Linked DNA regions of Yarrowia lipolytica. The protein of the gene in region 2 purifies or fractionates together with the protein of the main gene of each other region. This does not show direct contact. Links are inferred from orthologs where the notes say so. Each region holds a gene or a part of one and is shown on either strand. Other genes may lie near its edges.

Region 1 (4,264 bases), on a different chromosome or scaffold from region 2:
TATCACCAAACTGATTCTGATGAAGGCGTTGAGGGCACACACAGAGAGAAACAAGTCCGGATTCGCATGTACGTATCTCCGACCGGACTCTTTGTGGCGAGACGTGTTACAGGGCAACGAGGAGGTGACAATTGTCACTCATGTTCATGACACTGGCAGCAAAAAGACCGTGCCTGGTCTCAATCGGACGAACAGTCGCCCCGAAGGCGAGCCTATGGGTTTCGAAACAGCCAGTTCGTTTGCGAGAAGGACCAACTCTCTGGATCCCCTCACTCCCTCAGGAGCGTACGCTCAACCCAATCCCAAACCAACTTCTCGAAGCCGTGCTGCTCTTCTGACCACCACGGCCACTTCCAGTATAAAAAACAGAGTGACCAAGACGAGCACTCCCACAACTGCGAAGAAGCCGGTGGCTCGGACCCTCAATGGAGCTGGCCTCCAGAGAACTACTGCTTCCAAAACCCCTTCCAGGGTCAAGACCACAGCTACCATCAACCTGACATCCGATTCCAGCACTAGCAGCAAACCTGCTGCTCCTAAACCCGCTGGCAGTGCAGCCACAACCGCTACCAAAACCACTCCGATCTCAAACAACAAATCGACTTCTAGCTTCTTTGACAGGCCACTTTCGGAGGCCGCATTGACCCAGAGACACCAAGGAGAGGCCTACAAGCGATTAGAGGAGGTGCGGTCTGATCACTGCAACGAGCAGAACCTCACCCGGCCTTCCAGTGTGTGCAGCGAGGATGTGCTGGAGGTGCTGTCGTATGAGTTGCCCACTAGCTACAGCGAGTTTGCGACTCTTCTTCCGGACCACAAGCAGTTGTTTGTGGTGTTTGCTCCAGCTCTGAAGCTGCTGAAGCAGGAGAGGGAGTCCTTAAAGGTCAACAGAGGGGTTTCCAAGGGTGGAGCCACGTCGTTGAAGGACAAGTTTGCATACACGTCATGATACTATGCTGCCTACAATACTGAAATAACGGGCAGACATGTTATTGCATTACATTTGCATTACATTTTTTGCATTGATTTATTGAATATGAATATATGATTTAGAACAGGTGTGCGTGGATGTGTAACAAGTGTATTTGTACAAGAAACGAGATAGTTGCGCATTTATATGTTCTTAGTTAGTAGGTTAGACGGTGTCATCATGATAAACGAAACGAGTCTGTTTGGGGTTCTTGGGGGCATGCTTGATGTATCGTTCGTCATCCGGAGGTCGTTCGTCTCTGTCGTTACTTCCTAGCATGGACTGTAGGGAAATGCACACCGACGCCACCGTCTGGACCGGTGTCCATTCGTCGCCCAAAATGTCCAGGCAAATGTGACCATTACTGTAGATGTGAGGGTGGATGGGGATGGGTCGAGCTGGCAGTGGCATGAATTGCACCTGGGGGCTTTCCACCGGATAATTGGGACCAATGATGAATTGGAGTCGGAACGTTTTGCCAGTGTACAGCGGGTTGTCATTGTTCACCTCCAAATCTATCTGCCATGTTTCCAGGTCATTGGCTTCAACCAGTGTGATGTGTGCTGGGTTAGTACAAGTACAGTATGATAGGCGCAAAAGAGTGGGTGAACGTCCGTAGTGATACTCACAGTTTGGGGGAGCGGTTTTTAGCCGTTCCAGCTCCTTCATGATTCTTCGTTGGTATGACATGATGGTCGTTGTCTATTGGATGCAGGGTAGGATGTGTGTGGTCTCACAAATCTGAGGTCGTGTTGGTTACAGGTTGTGCATCCTCACTCAGGTCCAGCTCAACTTTATCTTGCAGCTACCAAGTGTGCTTGGTGATGCACGTGTAAGCTGAGGGGCGGGGTACAAGTCCGTACCATGACTGTCAGGCTTGTGATAAGGATACCTGTAGACTCAAAACCAGTTCTGTGCGGAGAAAGAGGCAGGAATTACAGCCACAGTACTTATATGACCAATCATGATCAAGTTCGTATCTTGGCGTGTGTGCTTCCGCCGCTAGTTCTGGTCACGTGCCCAATGACGTGGTGACAGACTCCTGAAATGACCCCTTCAGCAAGATCTCCAGTTTAATAACAACTCCTATACTGCTACTCAGAGCTCTAAATTATATTTCTCTTCCCAGTAGCACTCTTGTTCCTACAATGTCCTCCTCTCGGTGTTCGTGTGCGTATTGGTACTGGCAGCTAACAATGTTCAGTCGTGCGCTAGCTACCCCATAAAGTTCACGACCAACAAATGCACCCGGTATACACCACCTTCACCCCAATATTGCATCCATCATCACACACCAGGGCCCGGAAATGCGTCCGTCTCTAGGAAAGCGGTCGTCATTCTCGCATTTTTCAACTGCCCAGCAGCAACCGATATCGCCCCAGCAGCAGCGATACCCGCCTGGGTGGAATCCATACGATGAAGAAGCTACAGCTGGTTCGTCGGGACCTCATACAGCAGCCAAGACGAGCAGATACAGCGCGTCGGCGGCTCCAGGAGAACCATACATGTGGGAGCAGTCTGCCCAGGCTAGCTCCTACGCTCCTTCTACAGGGATGAAGTACGCGCCGAGCGACTACCAGCTACCGCGAAGATCTGCATATTTCGAGTCCACCATGCCGCTGTACTCAGTTAGCTGGAGCACTCCGGCTGCAGACGGCATGTCGTGCCTGGCGGTGGGCACGTGCAACGATGAGTCCAAGAACAAAATCCAGGTGGTGCACACAGAAGGCAATTCGTTCAACTTGGCGGCAGAAGCATCGGTGCCATATCCATGCACCAAACTGGCGTGGGACTCAAGGCTTGATGCTCAGGGAAAGCGCCAGTTTGCCACATCAGGTGACTGTCTGCGCATCTGGTCGTATGACTCGTCCAAAGGGTTTTTGCAGCAGCGATGTTCGCTGTCCAACTCCAAGTCCGGGTCCATTTCGCCTATCACCTCGTTCGACTGGAACAAGGTCGCGCCACATCTCATCATCACTTCATCCATAGACACGACATGCACGCTGTGGGACCTCAATACATCGTCCGCACGCACCCAGCTCATTGCCCACGACCAAGAGGTCTACGACGTGCAATTCACAGCGGGGTCCACAGATGTGTTTGCATCGGTTGGGGCCGACGGATCGGTCCGAGTCTTCGATCTCCGAGCCCTCGACCATTCTACAATCATATACGACCCGCCCAAACCACCGCCTCTAGTGCGAATTGCCGGATGCCCTTACGACGGCAACATTTTGGCTACTTTTGCAGGCAACTCGAGTAAGGTGCTCATTCTGGATATTCGCCAACCGGGCATGCCCATAGACGTGCTACAGCAGCACCAGGCTCCTGTGAACGCCATCCAATGGTGCCCCCAGAGCGTGGTTGTAGGAGGACAGCGAAAGAGATTGTTGGCATCTTCGTCTGACGACTCACAGATCATCTTGTGGAACACGGCCGTGCCGGGCGACTACCATCTGGACTCGGCCTTCACGGACTCGGCCGAAGTTAATAACATTTGCTGGAGTGCATCGGGAGATTGGATTGCAAGCGTTACTAACAAGGGTGTTCAGGGAGTGCGTCTGAATTGAGACTGAAAGGGTGAATGACGGCATATACATTTTTCTGGGGTAGAGGTAGACGAGCTTAGGGTAGCTCTCAGAGACTAATGGTACAGTACAAGTAGTTTTCTGTAAATAGAGTGCATTTCTACAAGACTAGTAGTTGAAGGTGAAGTGGATCGTACTGGTACAGTACTTACAGTACATACTGTACGTATAATTAGTAAATCATGTACAGTGACCATCCGGGCAATGCTTAGCCGCTTGAACAAATACAGAACGTATGTACAGTAGATGCCTGTTTTGGCACCATAGGCAGTGCTACAGAGAGTTGGTGCAAAGGACAACCAAATGTATATTGGTAAGCAACAAGTACTTGCAAGATAAATGACGACCTATCAACTTTACAGCATGAAAATTTCTGATACTGTACCTGTACTTGTATCATTTTTGTAACCCTCTCCACTCTCTCTGATACACCACACTGTAAGTTTCATCTCCGTTTCCATGTGAGTGATGGCTACTTGTAGGGCCCATTTCAGTGTCGTATGGTGTAAATTTTTGGAATTTTATTAAATAATTCTCACAAGTGACTCAATTTCATCATTATTATCATTTTTTTTTGGATCAAAAACACCCGCTCCTACTCTCCCATTGCCCACTACGCAACGTCATCTCGCGTATCATAGCACGCCTCCCCAGAGTTTAAACTCTGTATCGTGCAGCGCCACCGCAACCGATAGCGACCTCTTCA
Region 2 (5,921 bases):
ACCAGGTGGTCGGTCTCAATGGAGTGTCCAAGCTTGAGAAGTTTGAGAACGGCGAGGAGGAACGAGCCGAGAGTAATGACGGAGATAACGATGACAACATTCTCAACGACATCTTCTCTCAGACCGGTGTGCATTCTGCACTTGAACACGACGCTATCATGGATGCGTCTCGTCCAGAGACCGTTATCATCGAACGAGAGGCTAAGAGAGTTGCTGAAGTAGCTGCCAAAGCTCTCAGAGACTCGCGGAAGAAGGCACAGGCCAACGACATTGGAACTGTGACTTGGACGGGCAAGTTTGGCAGTGCCGGAAAGTTTGGCAAGAAGAAGCAGTCGGCTGGTAAAGTCGGAGTGCCGAAATTTGGGTCAGACAAGTTCTCTTCGTCCTCCATTCTGCAAAACATTAAGGCGAAGAAATCCCTGGAGGAGTCTACTAATGCATACACTGGTCTGATCAACATGAGCGATCTGGACAAGGTCAAGCTGCTGGAGAAGATCAGCGAGAGTCTCAAACTGGCCGGAGCAGGAGGCTTGTCGTCGAAAGACATTGCCAACGAGTTTGCTCTCAAGTTGACTAATCAGGAGGAGGTGGCAGTCATGAGACAGCTACTGAGACAGGCTGGAGAGTGGAATGGAGCCACGAAGAAGTGGAGGTATAAGGCCGTCGAGGATGTGGGAGATGAGGACGAGGAGATACAGGAGGTGGTCCCCGTGGATGAAATGGGAAATAAACTGTAGATAGATATTTATAATGCATGCTTCAACATGAATCTGATTATTGTCATCAGGCACGACAACTATTACTCGGACAACGAAAAGGAAAACCAATCTTGCCTTGCCTACAGTACCAGTTATGGGATAAAAATATGTAAATCCATTTATACATGATGCAAAGATTCTTCTAGTAGTTGAGCTGGTTAATCACAGCATTACGTCTTCCGTTGACCGGCCTCCTTCGCACTCGACGATAGCGCACTCGGACAACGTCCTCAACTGTACTACCTCCGACTCATCAAATGTACTACCACCGACTCATCAACCCATTCTCCAACTTTCTCACCACCTCACCATACTCGTTTCCCTGTCCCTGGTGATTCCTGGTCAGCTCTGATGGAGGAATGTACGCGGGACTGGGTTGGGCCTGGATATGGTCCGCAGGATTAACCATAGCCGTTGCTCTCTGAATAGGCGGCGGAATGGGATCCATGGATCCATATGTCAACGCTCGCGGTCGTCTCGAACCCGAACCCGAGTTCTGCTGCTTCAGACCGGTGCTCCAGTTGGCAGGAGGCTGCATGTGTGCATACTGCGCCGCCTCAGCAGACGTCTGAGCTGCGGAGGAGCCTGCAGCTGGGCCGGGGGGGACCATGGCATTGGCGTTCTGGCCCTGAGCGTGTAGAGGCTGGGACTGCGAAATGGGCTGGGCTGTCGGTGTGGGGTGGAAGACGTCCTTTTCTTCCTTGGGATGTGGCACAAAGGGACCTGTGAACTTGGACTCGGTGATGAACGGATGAGATGCCGCCTGTTGAGGAGTCCACCGCTCAAAGGGATTGTAGTTGAGCAAACCCATGAGGAAATCATACAGCGCCTCGCGGTTGAGCATCTCCTTGTCAATATCCGCCCGCTTCATATCCTTCTTATGCAAGGGGTACTCCATGATAATGGTTTTGAGATTTGCAGATGTGAAGTACTGCTTGGACTCCTTTTCATCCACGTTAAACTCACGGGAGTATCGCTCCCGCGACTTGAGCCGGTATCGCTTGCGGCCCTGGTCGTCCACAATCTTTTCCATGAACTTGCCGCTGTTCTTGCCCATCTCAACCATCCAATTAGGAGGGTCACCCAGAGATGCCACTATTCGAGACAGCTGGTTGTACTCAGACGCTCCAGGGAAGATGGGAAGACCGAGGAATAGCTCGGCAATGATGCAGCCCATGGACCACATGTCGATGGAGGTGGTATATGGGATACCGAGCAACACCTCGGGCGATCGGTAAAACCGCGATTGGATATATGTGTAGACAGTTTTTCTTTCGTGGCAAGCAGACCCAAAGTCAATCACCTTGATAATGGGACTATCGAGGTTTTTGAGCAAAATGTTTTCGGGCTTGAGATCACAATGGATGAGTTTGGCGTTTTTCAGCACTGTGAGAGAGTCCAGAAGCTGGCGAGAAAACACCCTGACGAGATTGATAGACAAGCCCCGGAACTGGTTCTGTTTGAGAAGTTCGTAGAGGTTAGAACTCAGCAGCTCAAACACGAGACAGTAATGTTGCTTATGCAAAAACTTGTCCTTGAGCCGCAAAATGTGGTGCTCGTCCTTGTTGTCGACCGAGTTATTCAGGTACTCAAGAATCGACACCTCCATCATGCTCTGGTTTAAGAACGCTGGGTTGTTCTTAATCACCTTGACCGCCACAATATCCTTAGTCTTCATGTTCTGGCACTTGACCACTTGCCCAAACGTACCCTGACCCAAAATATCTAGTACCAGATAGCGCTTGTTTTCGTCAGTACCCAGGACGTCATTAACGTACAGAATGTAGTCGTTGTCTCTGTTGTCGTGGCCATTGTTAAGCTTCGGCTCACTGGGCTTGGTGAGCACCCTGCGTGGGTTCTTGGACGACTCGTAGTTGAAGCCCGAGTTGCAGATCTGGTACGTGGCTGACAGCTGCAACGTCAGACACATGAGAGGCGACATGTAGCCGCCCTCGGGGATTGCCCGACGATTCTGGGGTCTTGGGTTGACCTGGGGATTGAGGTCAGAAGCCCGTTCAACCGGTCGGAAGGATGGAGGAGGAATTGACGCAGGCGGCTCCTGCGGTTGCGGCTGAGGCTGTATCGGTGGCTGTGGTGGAGCTGCATGAATGGGCTGAGGAGCCACGTGTACCGCTTGAGGGGCCGACTGAGGAGCTGTGATGGGAGGTGGTTGTGTTTGAGGTGTTTGTTGTGCCTGTTGCGTCCAATAGTATGGCTTTGTTGCCGGCATGGCGGGATTGTAATGCTGCTGGGGTGTCTGTTGATGCTGCTGCTGCTGCTGCTGCTGGGGTTGTTGAGATGGTTGGCCTTTGCGCACCGGTGACACCCGCGATCGGGCGTAGTTGCCTGCGGGGGTGCTGTGAGGGGACGCCCAGGGGTTGTAAGAAGCCGATTGGGGCGTTACAGGTGAAGAGGACATTTGCACTGATCCCAGAGGAGTGCCGGGCTGCATCTGAGGTGCCAGTGGCGTGCCGGGTTGCGACCTATACAGCGGTTCATGTGGCGACGAATGTTGTTGATGCTGGAGCCCGGGGGGCAGGCCGTACTGTGTCTGCGTCGGGGGATAGTGGCTGGGTTCGTGTGAGGGTCTGCGGGTCGACACAGGCGACGAGGGCTCGTATTGGTGCATGAGCTGCGGGTGGGGCAGCTGTTGGGTCGACAGGGCGTTGGACATGGACGTCTGGAACTGCGGATGCGGTTGCGAGGGCGAAAAAGGACCCATCTGCTGTTGGTGGTAGTACAGACTGCGTTGTGAGTGGGACATGTGCGGAGATCCCATTCCTGCTGAAGTTGAAGAGGCAGCGGCTGCCGAGCTCGAGGCCGACACGTTGGGCGCGCTCTCAAAGCTCTTACGGTAGTAGTCTGTCGGGTACGGTGGCTGTTGTTGTTGCTGTTGTTGCTGCTGCTGATGCTGCTGCTGCTGTTTGTGTCCGATCAGCGACGGCATCAGGTGCCCGTTGGACGACATTTTGCGGTGATGCGGCGACGGCGAATGGTCCATCACGGTCACGGCGGCGGTCGGTGTCAGGCTTGCACTCCGATCGACAAGCGAATGTTGAGCGAGCAGTGGCACAGAGTGTTTGCGGAGCGCGATCGAGCCGAATGACGTGGCCTCGTGAGAAGGATAGGGTGCAGACGCAATCTCGGCGTGGTCCGAGGCGGAAGAGTCCCAATGGCAGAGATACAAGTGCAGATACACTTGGTGATGTGGAGTGTCAGTGTAGCCCAAACCAAAGTCTAATTCATAACATGGGGGGGACCACAGTGGAAAACGTCAAACAAGGAAGTGGAAGCAATCTCTTGGCGTGTTTGAAGGGGGTAACATAATAAATGCCCCCCGGTGAACAGGTGGACCAGAAAAGGCCATCAGTAGGTCCGTCGCCGCCATCGCATTCGTCCCGGTCACGTGACCTCCCACCTCCCACCTCCCATTCGATACACTTCCTGCTGCACTACATGCGGTGACGTGTGAGCACATATTGTAGCATCAGTTGTTTCATGCGGCGGCGGCGGAATGCTTACTAATGCGCTTGAGCGGGGTGTTCTGGGGGGAGGGTGCTCTTGGTCGTCGCATCGGTTACCCTACCGTGGTACTCTCGGTCCTGTCATACTGCTACCAGAAACTCGCGCTCGAGCCCCCTATCACTACTGTGCCAGTATATCTATGACGCATTCTACTGAGGGTAATTGCGGGCACAGCAGGGGTCTGTCAAGCTTTTTTTACCCGTTGGGTTATTATTAGTATTTCCACTTCTCTTCCAAACCTTTCAACTAGCTTTCCAACTAATCTGCATAACTACGCTGCAGTACAGACAGTACAATACACACACATGAGCCACCAAGAAGAACACTACGCGTGGCGACAGACGCTCCAGGACATCACAATCACCTTCCCCGTGCCTCCAGGCACTCGTGGCAAGCAGATGGATATCAAATTCACCCCCACGACCATCTCGGCAGGTGTCGTGGGCCAGCCTCCCGTTCTTCAAGGCGATCTGTTTGGCAAAATCGCCCCTGAAGAGTCAACGTGGACTGTGGAGGACCAGAGAGAAGTCACCATCAGCATTGAGAAGGTCCACAACCAGGAATGGTGGCCACACGTGGTTACCACGGCCCCCAAGATTGACGTTTCCCAGATCGAGCCAGAGAAGTCCAACCTCAGTGATCTGGACGGAGAAACACGAGCCATGGTGGAAAAGATGATGTACGACCAGCGGCAGAAGGAAATGGGCCAGCCCACGTCGGACGAGCAGCGCAAGCAGCAGCTCCTGGAGAATTTCAAAAAACAGCACCCGGAAATGGACTTCTCAAAGGCAAAGATCAACGAGGGCTTTGGAAACATGCCTCAATAAGCGAACCAACCAGCTCATCGAAGCTGTCGGTTGCAGTAGCAATCATCTAGGCGTGGTTCCATTCTTGTGGTGTAATTCTGTCTGTCACGGACAAGTCCACGATACATTATTGGTCTAAATAAGTTATTTTCATTCATATAGTTATGCGATTGTATTTGTAATTCAATGTATCAGAATCCAAAGGAGAAGGCGCTCATGTCGGGCTCCTGGAACTGGCTCGGGGGAGCTGGTTTTTTGCCATTTCTTTCCTTCTTAGTCTTGTCACCGTTCTCAGTGTTGTCTTCGGGCTTATCCGCCTTTGGTTTGTCCTCCTCCTCCTTCTTCGCAGCATTGACACCATTCTTTTCAGTGCCGCTCTTTGGTTTGTCCTCTGTCTTCGGAGAATCATGGAAACTGTCCAGCATCGAGGGAGGTTCACTGGACGTTTTTTCTTTCTTGGGCTCCTCATATCCACTCAGCATGGAAGGTGGCTCCTGGAAACTATCCAACATAGAAGGAGGATGACTAGCGTTGGTCTTGGACTCCTTCTTTGGCTCATGGAACCCATCCAACATCGAAGGAGCTCCTTTCCCACCACCACCCATGTCAAATCCCTCCAACATGGAAGGACCCTCGCTAGCAGGAATGGGGGCCGGTTTGGATTTGAAGTCCCTGAACGCAGCAAGGGAGTCCGCGTCAGGCTTCTGGTTCTCCTGGACGTCCTCATCAGCCTTCTCAGGAACCTCGTCCTTCTTGAATTTCCAGTTTCGGACAAGATTCAAGGCAATGACCTCGCAGCCCATTCGAGAGTATAGCTTGGCAGTAGTGAACA

The links. Proteins that work in one complex are often made in the same cells at the same time.
Region 1: the proteins of YALI1_C23818g (region 2) and YALI1_F39550g purify together in Saccharomyces cerevisiae (affinity purification with mass spectrometry; 3 studies listed by BioGRID). This does not show direct contact. The link is inferred for Yarrowia lipolytica from reciprocal best matches to the Saccharomyces cerevisiae genes YAK1 and YPL247C.

The regions. Positions count from the first base shown.
Region 1 is NC_090775.1:3,953,104-3,957,367, reverse strand, and holds YALI1_F39550g (uncharacterized protein), read left to right. Parts: upstream 1-2,277; coding exon 2,278-3,540; downstream 3,541-4,264. Other genes in the region: YALI1_F39603g (uncharacterized protein), read left to right, coding at 1-949; YALI1_F39557g (uncharacterized protein), read right to left, coding at 1,136-1,660.
Region 2 is NC_090772.1:2,378,097-2,384,017, forward strand, and holds YALI1_C23818g (uncharacterized protein), read right to left. Parts: upstream 3,760-5,921; coding exon 1,021-3,759; downstream 1-1,020. Other genes in the region: YALI1_C23755g (uncharacterized protein), read left to right, coding at 1-737; YALI1_C23826g (uncharacterized protein), read left to right, coding at 4,589-5,110; YALI1_C23873g (uncharacterized protein), read right to left, coding at 5,281-5,921. UniProt on the Saccharomyces cerevisiae protein: Negative regulator of the cell cycle acting downstream of the cAMP-dependent protein kinase. Part of a glucose-sensing system involved in growth control in response to glucose availability. Phosphorylates POP2.